Linked DNA regions of Arabidopsis thaliana. The protein of the gene in region 1 interacts with the protein of each later gene in a pairwise test. Each region holds a gene or a part of one and is shown in the gene's direction. Other genes may lie near its edges.

Region 1 (3,227 bases):
ATTGTGAGGTATGTCCTCTGATGATCTGTGCCAAATTCATCTTCGGCTTTACGCAACAAGGCTTGGAACAAAGGATGGTTTAAGTAAGATATTGGAACCACAAATCTCTTCGTCTCCATCTCGTCTTCTCCAACATATACCGCAAAGTGACCCTTTCGTACGTTGATTATGTGTCTTAAACGCGATATCTTTTTATCGAGTACTCTCTTGACTTGAAAAACTATAGTCTTGAATCGAATCATATCTATCTTTCAAATGAACTGACTTTTGTATAGCTTGAACGAAGATACATGCGTAGACTTTGTGGCTTTATCAATTTTATAGGGGTGAAGGTTTGTTGCTTTTAGGAGTAGTAATTCATTGTTATAAATATTAAAGGATTTTGTAACATATAAAATAGTAAATGAAATAAATAATGGATATGTAGCATCTAAAATACATATTGTGATAAAATTTGTATTTTTTTCTCTAACTTTAAGAATTAAAAATATTATCTTCTATCTTAATTTTTAAAATGAATCTATCACATTTTCTCATTATATTTTTTTTTTTCAACTTAAAATTTGCAAACAATATAAGACTTCACAAAAAAAAAAAGTTATCTAATTTAAGATGAAACTCATAAATATTTATGAATACATCAATTAGAGTATTAGCTAATCTTCATTTATATATGTTTCCTTAAAATTTTAGAATCTACCAACTGTATTAGTGCGGGCCGCAAAAATGGTATCAGATTAAGGTGAACTCTGAATATTATATATGATTAAGATCTTAAATGGATATACTGTATAAATTTTCCTTATAAAAATACATTTTTATGTTTAAATAGATATTTGTGGAGAATTTTTGCATTCGCAGACACTTGAAACTCACTAATTGAACTTCCTTTCACTCAACAGAAACAATATAATGTGAAGTCTTAATTAGTGCATGATTTTTTTTCAGTAAAAAGCAGTAGTAAATTAAATTAAAATTGTCTCATTTTTGAAAAATTGTATAAAACAAATGATTGTTTAAAAAAATACTCATTATATTTAAGATAAACACAAAAAACTTGTTTAGATCACTCATGCGTTGATCGCGTGATTACACAAGCCTAATATTTGTTATGTTCAATTTCTCTCTGCAACTCTTCTCTTCCCAAACACTAAACCATCTATCTATGTCAAGCAACTATTTTAGGCCTAAATGCGAAGAACATGCATCTACACAATCAAAAAGATAAGAGAAAAAAGGGATAGTAGGCCATAGGCAGCAAATAGCTATAGATCTATGGGGATTTTGTTTTCGATCTATATCGATCACTAAACAGTACTATGTTGTTTGTTCAAATTTCAGTCTAGCCACAGTCACAATCATCCTCATAATCACATGCAAAGATGCGAGATTCAGATCTTATCTAATGGCAAATAAATTGATCAAAACTATCTATGGAGCTGAAAATTTAACAAACAAATACATCACACATATTTTAATATAATACTAAAAGATTTGTTATTTCAAAATTATATATGGAAAACCATCTCGTTACTCATCTTTCGTCCCAGCAGTACGGCCCCTAGTTTGAGAGCGAAGGAAAATATACTTTAAAAGACTTTGGAACTTATTATACATACTCTTTCAACTATAACAATCTCCAATATTGCTAAAAGTGGCTCAAGAACTGGACCCACTTAGTCTGATCCAAGTCACATTATTCACCATTTCGAGGCTCTAATTTAATATAAATACCTAACTTTTTATATATATTTGCAATCATATACAAGAAACTTATGTTATGTGCATTTTATTTTTATATAAAGATGAGCTAAGCCATGTGAGCCAGATGGATGACGGGAGGGCCCAACAGCCCACAACTTTTTTTTTTTTTTTTTAGTAATCAAAATATCGCATCGTACTGTTTTTTTAGCATTGAAAGTCTTTTCCTTATCTTGAAGTTACATACTTTAAGTTCACTACTATAAATAGAAACTTCTTCCCCTCGTTGTCTATCAAGTCATTTACTTTTTAAAAAAATTTACCTAAACAAATTGATAAGTTCCAAACATAAATAAGAAGACATGGGTTTAATGAGGTCGATGCTTCCAAATGCAAAGCAAATCTTCAAATCACAATCTATGAGGAACAAGAACGGATCATCCTCACCATCAACAACAACAACAACTTCAGGGCTTGTTCCGAAAGGTCACGTAGCGGTTTACGTTGGAGAACAAATGGAGAAGAAGAGGTTTGTGGTTCCAATATCATACTTGAACCATCCTTTGTTCAGAGAATTTCTTAATCGCGCTGAGGAAGAATGCGGATTTCATCACTCTATGGGTGGCTTGACGATACCTTGTCGAGAAGAGTCGTTTCTTTATCTCATTACTTCTCATCAGCTGCATTGAGGAACGCATTAAGTGATGTAATAGTCTTGAGGGATTTAATTAAGCTGTTTTTCTTTCCTCTTTTAAGAGGAGAATTATAGGGAAGTTACTTATGTGTGTATATGGTGACACTTGTTCAGAGCTTAAGTTGTATTTTGAAATAAGTTTTTTTTTTTTTTTTTTAAATAAGATTTGAAAAGCTAGTTGAGCTAAAATTTATATTCAAATCATTAAAAGCTTTTAACTTTTAGTCTTTTACAGTAAAAATGGTGGAAAATAAACGAAACTTTAAATGCGGTAAAAAAACAAATTATTATATATATCTAATGGTTGAAAAATCCATCTTACAAAGATGAGAATTTTTTTGAAATTATCACACAGTAAATCATCATTTGATGATCTCCTGCAACATGTGACATGCCTAGACGTTATTTTACTATCTATTACATTAGCGTTTAGAAAAGCATCATATAATAAAAACAGAAAATTTTCACATAATGGAAATCTCAATTATAAGTTTTCATTTGTTTTGTATTTTATATACCCAGCTCTGACTTACATCATAAATATAGTATCTCAAAAAAAAAAAAAAAGGACTTTTTCAAGGAATTGAAAGTATTTTAAAGGATGGTGGATCACATGCACTCTGAAGAAACTAAAATGGGTTGTAAGTGAATAAGTGATTAATAACATTAGTATGATCTATATATGTTCTTCAAATGCATAAATCATATTTATTGAAAATGATTGAAACAGTACTGCACAATTTTATCATAGTGAACTTTGTCACAATAAATGAAATAAATCATATCCAAATTATTGCATATTTAGATTGTCAAGCTCATGTTACTCTCCGTT
Region 2 (3,904 bases), on another chromosome or scaffold:
AATTTCGCCATCGTAAATCTAGATCTTCTTCCTTTCTTCAAGAGACGTTCTTTGAGTCTCTATTTTTTTGGATGCGTTTCACCGCCTCTGTGACTTCTCGAGAGTATTATAAAGAGGGTCACACGACACTTTCATTTGGTTTTAACTTGTTATAAAGAAGATTCTTGTATTATAATCTGTTTGTGTGTTTTTCTAAGTCTCAGTTTTGTTTTAATTTGCAAGGTTTAGGTTTTGTTAATCTTTTTTTTGAATTTCCAGATTCTGATCCAGAAAGTATTAATGGATGTTGTGTAGTTTATTTGCTCGGGTTTTTTTCCCTTTGTTTACTTTGTTTGATCATTGTTTCTGGTGTTCTTGTACTCGCCGACTAATGTTTCCGGAAGTGTTCATGTACTTGCCGGCTCTTTGTAATTCACTTTAAACCTTATCAATAGAATCTTTTTGATGAAAAAGAAGAAGAAGCCATGGAGCTATTCAAACTCATCTAACCGATTGGATAAAACAGCTCATTCATAGGAGACTACGCCACCAAAACTATTTTTTTAATATGTTTCATATCCCTAACAATACATTCTTCTTGAAAAAATATTCTACATAGCTCACAATACAAAAAACTTGGTTTAGTGACATTTGACATTTACACATATGAATGGTTGCAATATGGTCATAGCACGTAAAAAATGATCATATATTGTTCAAAAATATAGATCTTAATGCATATCGATCATGTCCCTCTGGTCCAATTGGTTTTATGATTTTTTTTCCATATCAATCAATCAAAAAGGAGGATCAATTGATCTGGCCCTCTATAACTAAATTTGTTTTAACTAGAAAAACTGGACCGCTCATTCTCCTCCTCTCAAGTTCTGGTTAGCGTTTTTTGAATCATTTTCAATCACAAAGTTATTTTTAAGAAAAAATCTAGGAAATGCACAACTTTGATTAAAAAACAAAAAAAAATTATAAGATTACATCTAACTTAATAAGCAATACTTAAGAAAAAAACAAAAGTACATACCGATAAAAACACGACACGTCAAATTTTATATCTAGACATTATAATATACATATGAATTTTAGTAAAAGGTAAAACAAAATGTAAATGTTGAAAATAGTAAATTTAATTTAAAATTTTTGAAAAAAAATATTAATAAAATACATATCTAATATAGTAATTTATAAAATATCACGTGGCGTTCGGCAATATATGGCACAAAATTTTCAAGGATAAGATTTTCTAATTTCCAAACTTTTATAATAAATCTGATAAACTTGAATTAATGTTACCAGAATCCCATTTAATAAAATCAGAACTAAAATTAGGCATTTTCATAAAAGTATTGTGAAAACATACAAATTAAAGATGTTCTTATAGAAAAAAGGGATTTTTTCACTATTAAAATTAAAAAGATAATAATCTAAAACAACCTTGTAGACCCAAAAAAAAAAGATTACAAAAATGCCTAACTTCTTTAACATTTTAAGAAGTCTTATCTTCACAGCACCTTCTAAAAGAAAAGTGTTCTTTCTGTAATTAACCTTTTTTAAACATTAAAACATAAAGTCTATCCTTTTAATAAATATTTGACTTTTATCATTTGACTCCTTCGCTAAGTCCGACGTGACGGACATATAGGTAATTTGTGTATATAAACCAGAAGTGTTCTGCTGGTAATCATATCTTGTAACCATAATCGTCTTGTGTCTTTTATTTCACAGAGACAAAATGGAAACCCCAAACATCATCAGCCACACAAATCTTCTATCGAAGATAGACCTGGAAAAACAAAACCCTGCCCCCATTTTCCCGACAATCACTGAGCTTAAAAGTGAGGCTAGGTCTCTCTTCTCCTTAGCCTTCCCGACAATCCTCGCGGCCCTCATCCTCTACGCTCGCTCCGCCATCTCGATGCTCTTCCTCGGGCATATCGGTGAACTAGAGCTAGCTGGTGGCTCCCTGGCCATTGCCTTCGCTAACATCACTGGCTACTCCGTTCTAGCAGGTCTTGCACTCGGCATGGACCCACTCTGTTCGCAAGCCTTTGGAGCCGGCAGACCAAAACTCCTCTCTTTAACGCTTCAACGAACCGTACTTTTCTTACTCACAAGTTCGGTAGTAATCGTCGCTCTATGGCTCAACCTGGGGAAGATCATGATTTATCTTCATCAAGATCCAAGTATCTCATCGTTGGCCCAAACATATATCCTCTGCTCTATTCCTGATCTGCTCACCAATTCCTTTCTTCACCCTCTTCGTATATACCTTCGAGCACAAGGTATCACAAGCCCTTTAACTCTCGCAACACTCGCTGGCACCATCTTCCACATACCCATGAACTTTTTCCTCGTTTCTTACCTCGGATGGGGTTTCATGGGCGTTTCAATGGCCGCAGCCGCTTCAAATCTTCTTGTTGTCATTTTCCTTGTGGCCCATGTTTGGATCGCAGGTCTACACCAGCCAACGTGGACCCGCCCCAGCTCGGAATGTTTCAAAGATTGGGGACCAGTCGTAACCCTAGCCATACCTAGCTGCATCGGGGTATGCCTAGAGTGGTGGTGGTACGAGATAATGACCGTTCTATGTGGTTTACTCATAGACCCTAGTACTCCAGTGGCATCAATGGGCATTCTTATCCAAACGACGTCTTTGCTTTACATTTTCCCATCGTCTCTAGGGTTAGCAGTCTCCACCCGAGTTGGTAACGAACTTGGCTCAAACCGCCCAAACAAGGCTAGGTTATCAGCCATAGTGGCGGTTTCCTTTGCTGGGGTAATGGGTCTGACGGCGTCTGCGTTTGCTTGGGGCGTAAGCGATGTCTGGGGATGGATCTTCACAAACGACGTTGCTATCATCAAATTAACCGCAGCCGCGTTGCCGATTCTCGGGCTTTGCGAGCTCGGGAACTGCCCGCAAACAGTAGGTTGCGGGGTTGTTAGAGGCACTGCACGGCCGTCCATGGCAGCGAACATAAACCTAGGAGCGTTTTACCTCGTTGGAACGCCTGTAGCCGTTGGGCTAACGTTTTGGGCCGCATATGGATTTTGCGGACTTTGGGTAGGTCTTTTAGCTGCTCAGATATGTTGTGCTGCCATGATGCTATATGTCGTGGCTACTACGGACTGGGAGAAAGAAGCAATTAGAGCCAGAAAGCTAACGTGTACTGAAGGCGTTGATGTGGTAATAACAACAACGCAAACCAACGGAGACTTATCGGAACCATTAATTTACGTTGTCACTGTCGCTACTGACTGACATCGATCGGTGTTTTGAGTTGTTTTATTTTATTTTACTTAATATTTGTGGATGAATCGATCAGTTTTTTTTGGGAGGGCATTGGGAGACATTTGTATTTTTAAACGAGAAAGTTACCAAAAAGAATCTGATTCATAATTTTGATCCAAAGTAATTGTGTCCTAAGTATTTGTACTTCATGCTATTTTAGAGAATTTTCTTTTTCTATATAATCGGCTTTGATTGCTCCAGAATTCGAATTCAAGTTGTTGTGCAACATTTTCTGATGTGTTCAATTGTGTTTTCGTTGTATAAGTAGTAGATCATGACTAAACATGTGTTCACGTTATATAATGATTATGTATGTTATTCAGTTTAATTGTATATATTTTTTCATGTATAAAAAGTTATGTTTTTTAAAAATATATTTCTTTTACTTTGATTTATTAAATATAAGATCAACCTATATTTGTTGTCAAAAAAAAGCATTAGGAGGATTTGAATTCGATTACAGCCGCAAAATGTTACAGCTATTTGTGCTGGTTAGTTCTCCAGTCAGACTCTTGGTGGTATTACTGCAACTCATTAATTTTTCTATTTAAAAAAATATATGGTGAAAGAAGTTCTTTAAATTCCAGTTTTCAACACGTATGCACAAAATTTTGCTTCTCA
Region 3 (4,616 bases), on another chromosome or scaffold:
TTGTTCACCGCTAATGTGTCTGACAAATCGTCTAGTTGTTTCGAAACAGAGGCAACCGCATCAGCCATATTTTTCTTTGTCACAAACATTGCATCTGAAAACGACCAGCCCTGCAATGTGGGTAAACCTTAGAAGTCAATGATATATAGTTTACCGGTAAACCACATGTTACAAAACTATAACAAAAGACACATGAAACATAGAGAAAAATAGACAGATTTTAAAGAGATAAACACCTTCCACCACATGTAGCAGTACCCCATAGCTCCAACGGCAGCCGCTGGAACCAGGTAAGATGCATAGCCTACAAGAGCAAAAGCAAAGATTATATCATTCTCTGTTTCTCATAAAAAATAAACATATTTGAAACATTTCCTACATTATCAAAAGTAGTACATAAATATTTTATGAGAAACTAAGACTTGTACATACCACTGGAGTTTGAATCTCCATTAAAGATGGTAACTGGATTGGTCATAGTTAGTTCTTTGATCTCGTTTGCAAGCTGTCGAATCTGGTTATCAAGAGACAACAAAAATTATGTCACTAAGAGGGGAGTCCAGTATTGGCCTAGTGATAAAGAGTGATGAATTATTTTCTATTCCGATTGTTTATGTTGGATCGATGAGAAAAATAAGCTTACAGAGCAAAAGAAAATGAAATACCTGAGCAGCAAGGAGTGCACCGTCATACTTAAAAGGAGTGCTTTCAACTCCTTGAGCACCATTGAGTAAGTCTTGAAGTTGGGCTATTAGGTCAGACAACCTCCCATGTCTCAATACGATCGAACCAGATACACCTTGGACATGATGAAAACAGAACCAAGTGTCATTAAAGGTCATTAAATGGAACATCCAAGCTAGAATAACTAAATCATTCTTGCTACATCCAAGCTGTATTACCATCAAAACTACACTAACGATTGAAGATTAGAAGTTCTGGACCATTTTAGCAAAGTGATCAATCAATTTGCCAAGATAAATTCAAACCCTAACTCTTCATAAAACAATTCCCTAGATTAGAGAGTCAAAGCAATACGAATCGAATTTGATTACAACAAGCAAAGATAATAAAACAAGCATCAAAGTGAGAAAGAGACCTGCGCCGAGTAGGATAAGGACCTTAGAGGTCTGAACACCGGCTTGCATCGCCATGAATTCCGGTTACAAGCTGAAAAAGATTCTCGATTAATTCTCTGTTCCGTGTCGCCAAGCCACCGCGAGAGACCAATTATGACACCCTTTTGCCCTTTAGACCTCAATTTTAGCTTTGATTTACCACAAAGATAAATACTTTTCAAAACTTATGTTCTTACCCCCGAAGCTTCCAATTTTAATCGAACTATTGTCCTTAGACACATATTAGAATATTTAACACCACTTGAGCTTATATACATATCAAACGTTAATATGTACAGTATATACAATTACATATGTATTTATACTTTTATTGCCCTATAGACCTCAGCTTTAGCTTTGATTGACCAGAAACATTAATATTTTAACAATTTATGTATTCACCCCAAACACTTCCTTTTGAATCAGATTACCCCAGAAGGCAATGCAAATCGAATGACTAAGGTTATTTTAGACATTTCTCAATAATCCAAACCATTACGCAACTTCACTGTATTAACCTGTTTTCTTCATCGAAGAAGATAGAGAGACCAAAACAAAAAAAGCTTTGAATATCCGCCATGGATGTTGGACGATGCTTTCTCTTTCTTCTATTACCAAGTTTCTTCTTCTTGCCTTCACAAACGCAGAGCACCGATTCATTCACATCGGTTCTCGTATCTCAAAACGGACTCGATTTCGTCAAAAATCTTCTAGTTAACAAAGCTATCGCGTCGATTATACCTCTCCAGATTCCCAGAATTGAGAAATCTATGAAAATCCCGTTCCTTGGAGGAATCGATGTTGTTGTCTCGAATCTCACGATATACGAGCTTGACGTTGCGTCATCTTATGTTAAGCTTGGTGAGACAGGTGTTGTCATCGTCGCTTCAGGGACGACTTGTAATTTGAGTATGAATTGGCATTATTCTTACAGTACTTGGCTTCCTCCTATTGAAATATCTGATCAGGGTATTGCATCTGTTCAGGTAATTATGATCAATTTTACTAATTCTTAGTTTTGATCATCTCAATCTTGTGAATCAATGGAAAGACAAGATTTTTCTTGCGAATCACAAATTTCTGTTCTGTTTTGTATCCTTATGTTTCGTGATTGTTATATGTCTTAGAACATAGTTGCATATGGGAATCAGAGGTGACTGTTGCTCTCTGTTTACCATTTCCATGTGTTGGTTTTAGTTGTTGCTGTGATCTGCTCATTTTTATATCTGTTTTACAAAGGGAATTTGATGAGTGCTGATTCTCGCCTTCTCGGTAAGGTTCAAGGCATGGAAATCGGGCTCTCTCTAGGCTTGAAAAGTGATGAAGGAGGCTTAAAACTTTCTCTTTCGGAATGTGGATGCCATGTGGAAGACATTACCATTGAGTTGGAAGGAGGAGCATCATGGTTTTATCAGGGGTACGAAATAATTTGCTTATTGATGATAGATCCACTCCCTCTTATTGCAAGACAGGTGTTGGTTTGTTTTTCATTTTAAACTTCATTCTCTTCTCTGCAATTCAGGATGGTTAATGCATTTAAAGACCAAATTGGGTCAAGTGTGGAAAGTACCATTGCCAAGAAACTCACGGAAGGAGTATCAGACCTTGATTCATTCCTACAAAGCCTTCCAAAGGAAATCCCAGTGGATGATAATGCTGACCTTAATGTCACTTTCACCAGTGATCCTATATTGAGAAATTCATCTATCACTTTTGAGATTGATGGCTTGTTCACCAAAGGAGAAACAAATCAAGTCTTAAAATCCTTCTTCAAAAAGTCTGTATCTTTAGTTATCTGCCCTGGAAATTCTAAAATGCTCGGAATTTCAGTTGACGAAGCTGTTTTTAACTCTGCTGCAGCTTTGTACTATAATGTAAGTTCCTAATTTCCTAATTCCTTAGGTTCCAACTAGAAAGAATGCTCTTGATAAAACTGTTCTATATGTTTCCGATACATCAATATTACTGTTTTCCACCGTTGTTTCTAATATGAGGATGTTCACTCTTGCCATATTCAGGCAGACTTTGTGCAATGGGTTGTGGATAAAATACCAGAGCAGTCTCTTTTAAACACTGCTAGGTGGAGGTTCATCATTCCACAACTATACAAGAAATACCCGAACCAGGATATGAATCTGAACATCAGTTTGTCCTCACCTCCGCTTGTAAAGATATCAGAGCAATACGTTGGAGCTAATGTTAATGCAGACCTAGTAATCAATGTTCTAGATGCAAACCAAGTAATACCTGTAGCTTGCATCTCCTTGGTGAGTCCTCCAATGACAATGCTCCATATCTTTTGTTTTAGTTACTTACTATAAGCAAATTTGCAGTGATGTCGGTTTACCAATAGATGATTCACTGTTTCCTTGGCTGCAGATGATCCGGGGATCTGGTGCTCTCAGAGTCATGGGCAATAACCTTGGAGGCAGCGTAAGTTTAGAAGATTTCTCCATGTCTTTGAAATGGAGCAACATTGGAAATCTCCATCTGCATCTTCTTCAGGTAAAACCATCATGTCAAGTGTTTAAAGCACTCGCATGTTTGTTTCTTTCATTCTTAGCATTCACACGTGTTTCTTTATCTTGTTCCGATCTTCTAGCCAATAGTGTGGACTGTTATACAAACAGTGTTTGTGCCATATGCAAATGACCACCTAGAAAAGGGATTCCCGTTGCCCATAATGCACGGATTCACACTTCAGAATGCGGAAATCATCTGCTCAGAATCTGAAATCACAGTTTGCAGCGATGTCGCCTACTTGGATTCGTCCCAACAGCCTCAATGGCTTTGAAGCTACCACGATCTACGACTTGGAAACCTAACTCGTTGTAGTTTACAATTGGTGGTTGTAAGTGTCGCTACTGGTTTGGCATTTGGACCAGACTCAGCGACCAAAACGAACAAAGCTTTGTATAATACTTTTGTACTTAATGTTGACTAATCTGTGAATGATATTTCTGTCTGAAATAAAATAGTCTTTGTAATTACTGTGGTATGAAAATAGGCTATGGTAAATAATATGTCGACGAATTAGTTGGTCAAGTGGTTAGACTGTTAGCCAGCTTGTTCAACTTCATATAAAAGTCGAAAAATTCACCAAATTCTGTATATGGAATCTAAAAGTGTATACTCTGTTCTAACTCTTTGAAATGATATCATTGTCCTTGAGTGGGACACTTTAAGTCTTTCAAGAAACCAAAACCCTTATCAATGAGGTAAAAGAGAAGTTCACAAGTCGTCCTTGGACTCAGTGGAGGCTTCATCATCATTTCCCATGAGGTCTTCAAGTGAGAATTCATCTGCATCAACCACCTCTCCATCTTTACCATCCCAAGCTTCTGTCTTCACTATCTCCATAGTTCCGTCTATAGGCAAATTCCCTTTTCCTCCTTTCGCAGCCTCCTTAACGAAATCTCTGATAACACAAATAAGAAAAATACCCGTTGAGCTAATAAGATGCATGGACCATTGGTTTCGTCATATAGGACAGAGAGA

What was found. The genes of interacting proteins can lie anywhere in the genome.
Region 2: the proteins of AT4G34790 (region 1) and AT5G19700 interact in a protein complementation assay, tested with the Arabidopsis thaliana proteins (one large-scale study listed by BioGRID).
Region 3: the proteins of AT4G34790 (region 1) and AT1G04970 interact in a protein complementation assay, tested with the Arabidopsis thaliana proteins (one large-scale study listed by BioGRID).

The regions. Positions count from the first base shown.
Region 1 is NC_003075.7:16,592,476-16,595,702, forward strand, and holds AT4G34790 (SAUR-like auxin-responsive protein family), read left to right. Parts: upstream 1-1,886; 5' UTR 1,887-2,063; coding exon 2,064-2,390; 3' UTR 2,391-2,678; downstream 2,679-3,227. Other genes in the region: AT4G34780 (SAUR-like auxin-responsive protein family), read right to left, coding at 1-242.
Region 2 is NC_003076.8:6,660,170-6,664,073, reverse strand, and holds AT5G19700 (MATE efflux family protein), read left to right. Parts: upstream 1-1,610; 5' UTR 1,611-1,726; coding exon 1,727-3,253; 3' UTR 3,254-3,396; downstream 3,397-3,904. UniProt on the Arabidopsis thaliana protein: May act as a negative regulator of hypocotyl cell elongation in the light.
Region 3 is NC_003070.9:1,409,520-1,414,135, forward strand, and holds AT1G04970 (lipid-binding serum glycoprotein family protein), read left to right. Parts: upstream 1-1,568; 5' UTR 1,569-1,696; coding exon 1,697-2,104; exon of another isoform or gene 2,105-2,365; coding exon of another isoform or gene 2,366-2,395; coding exon 2,396-2,535; intron 2,536-2,640; coding exon 2,641-2,992; intron 2,993-3,136; coding exon 3,137-3,385; intron 3,386-3,497; coding exon 3,498-3,623; intron 3,624-3,720; coding exon 3,721-3,912; 3' UTR 3,913-4,108; downstream 4,109-4,616. Other genes in the region: AT1G04960 (golgin family A protein (DUF1664)), read right to left, coding at 9-110, 237-304, 433-514, 666-905; PDIL2-2 (PDI-like 2-2), read right to left, coding at 4,350-4,536.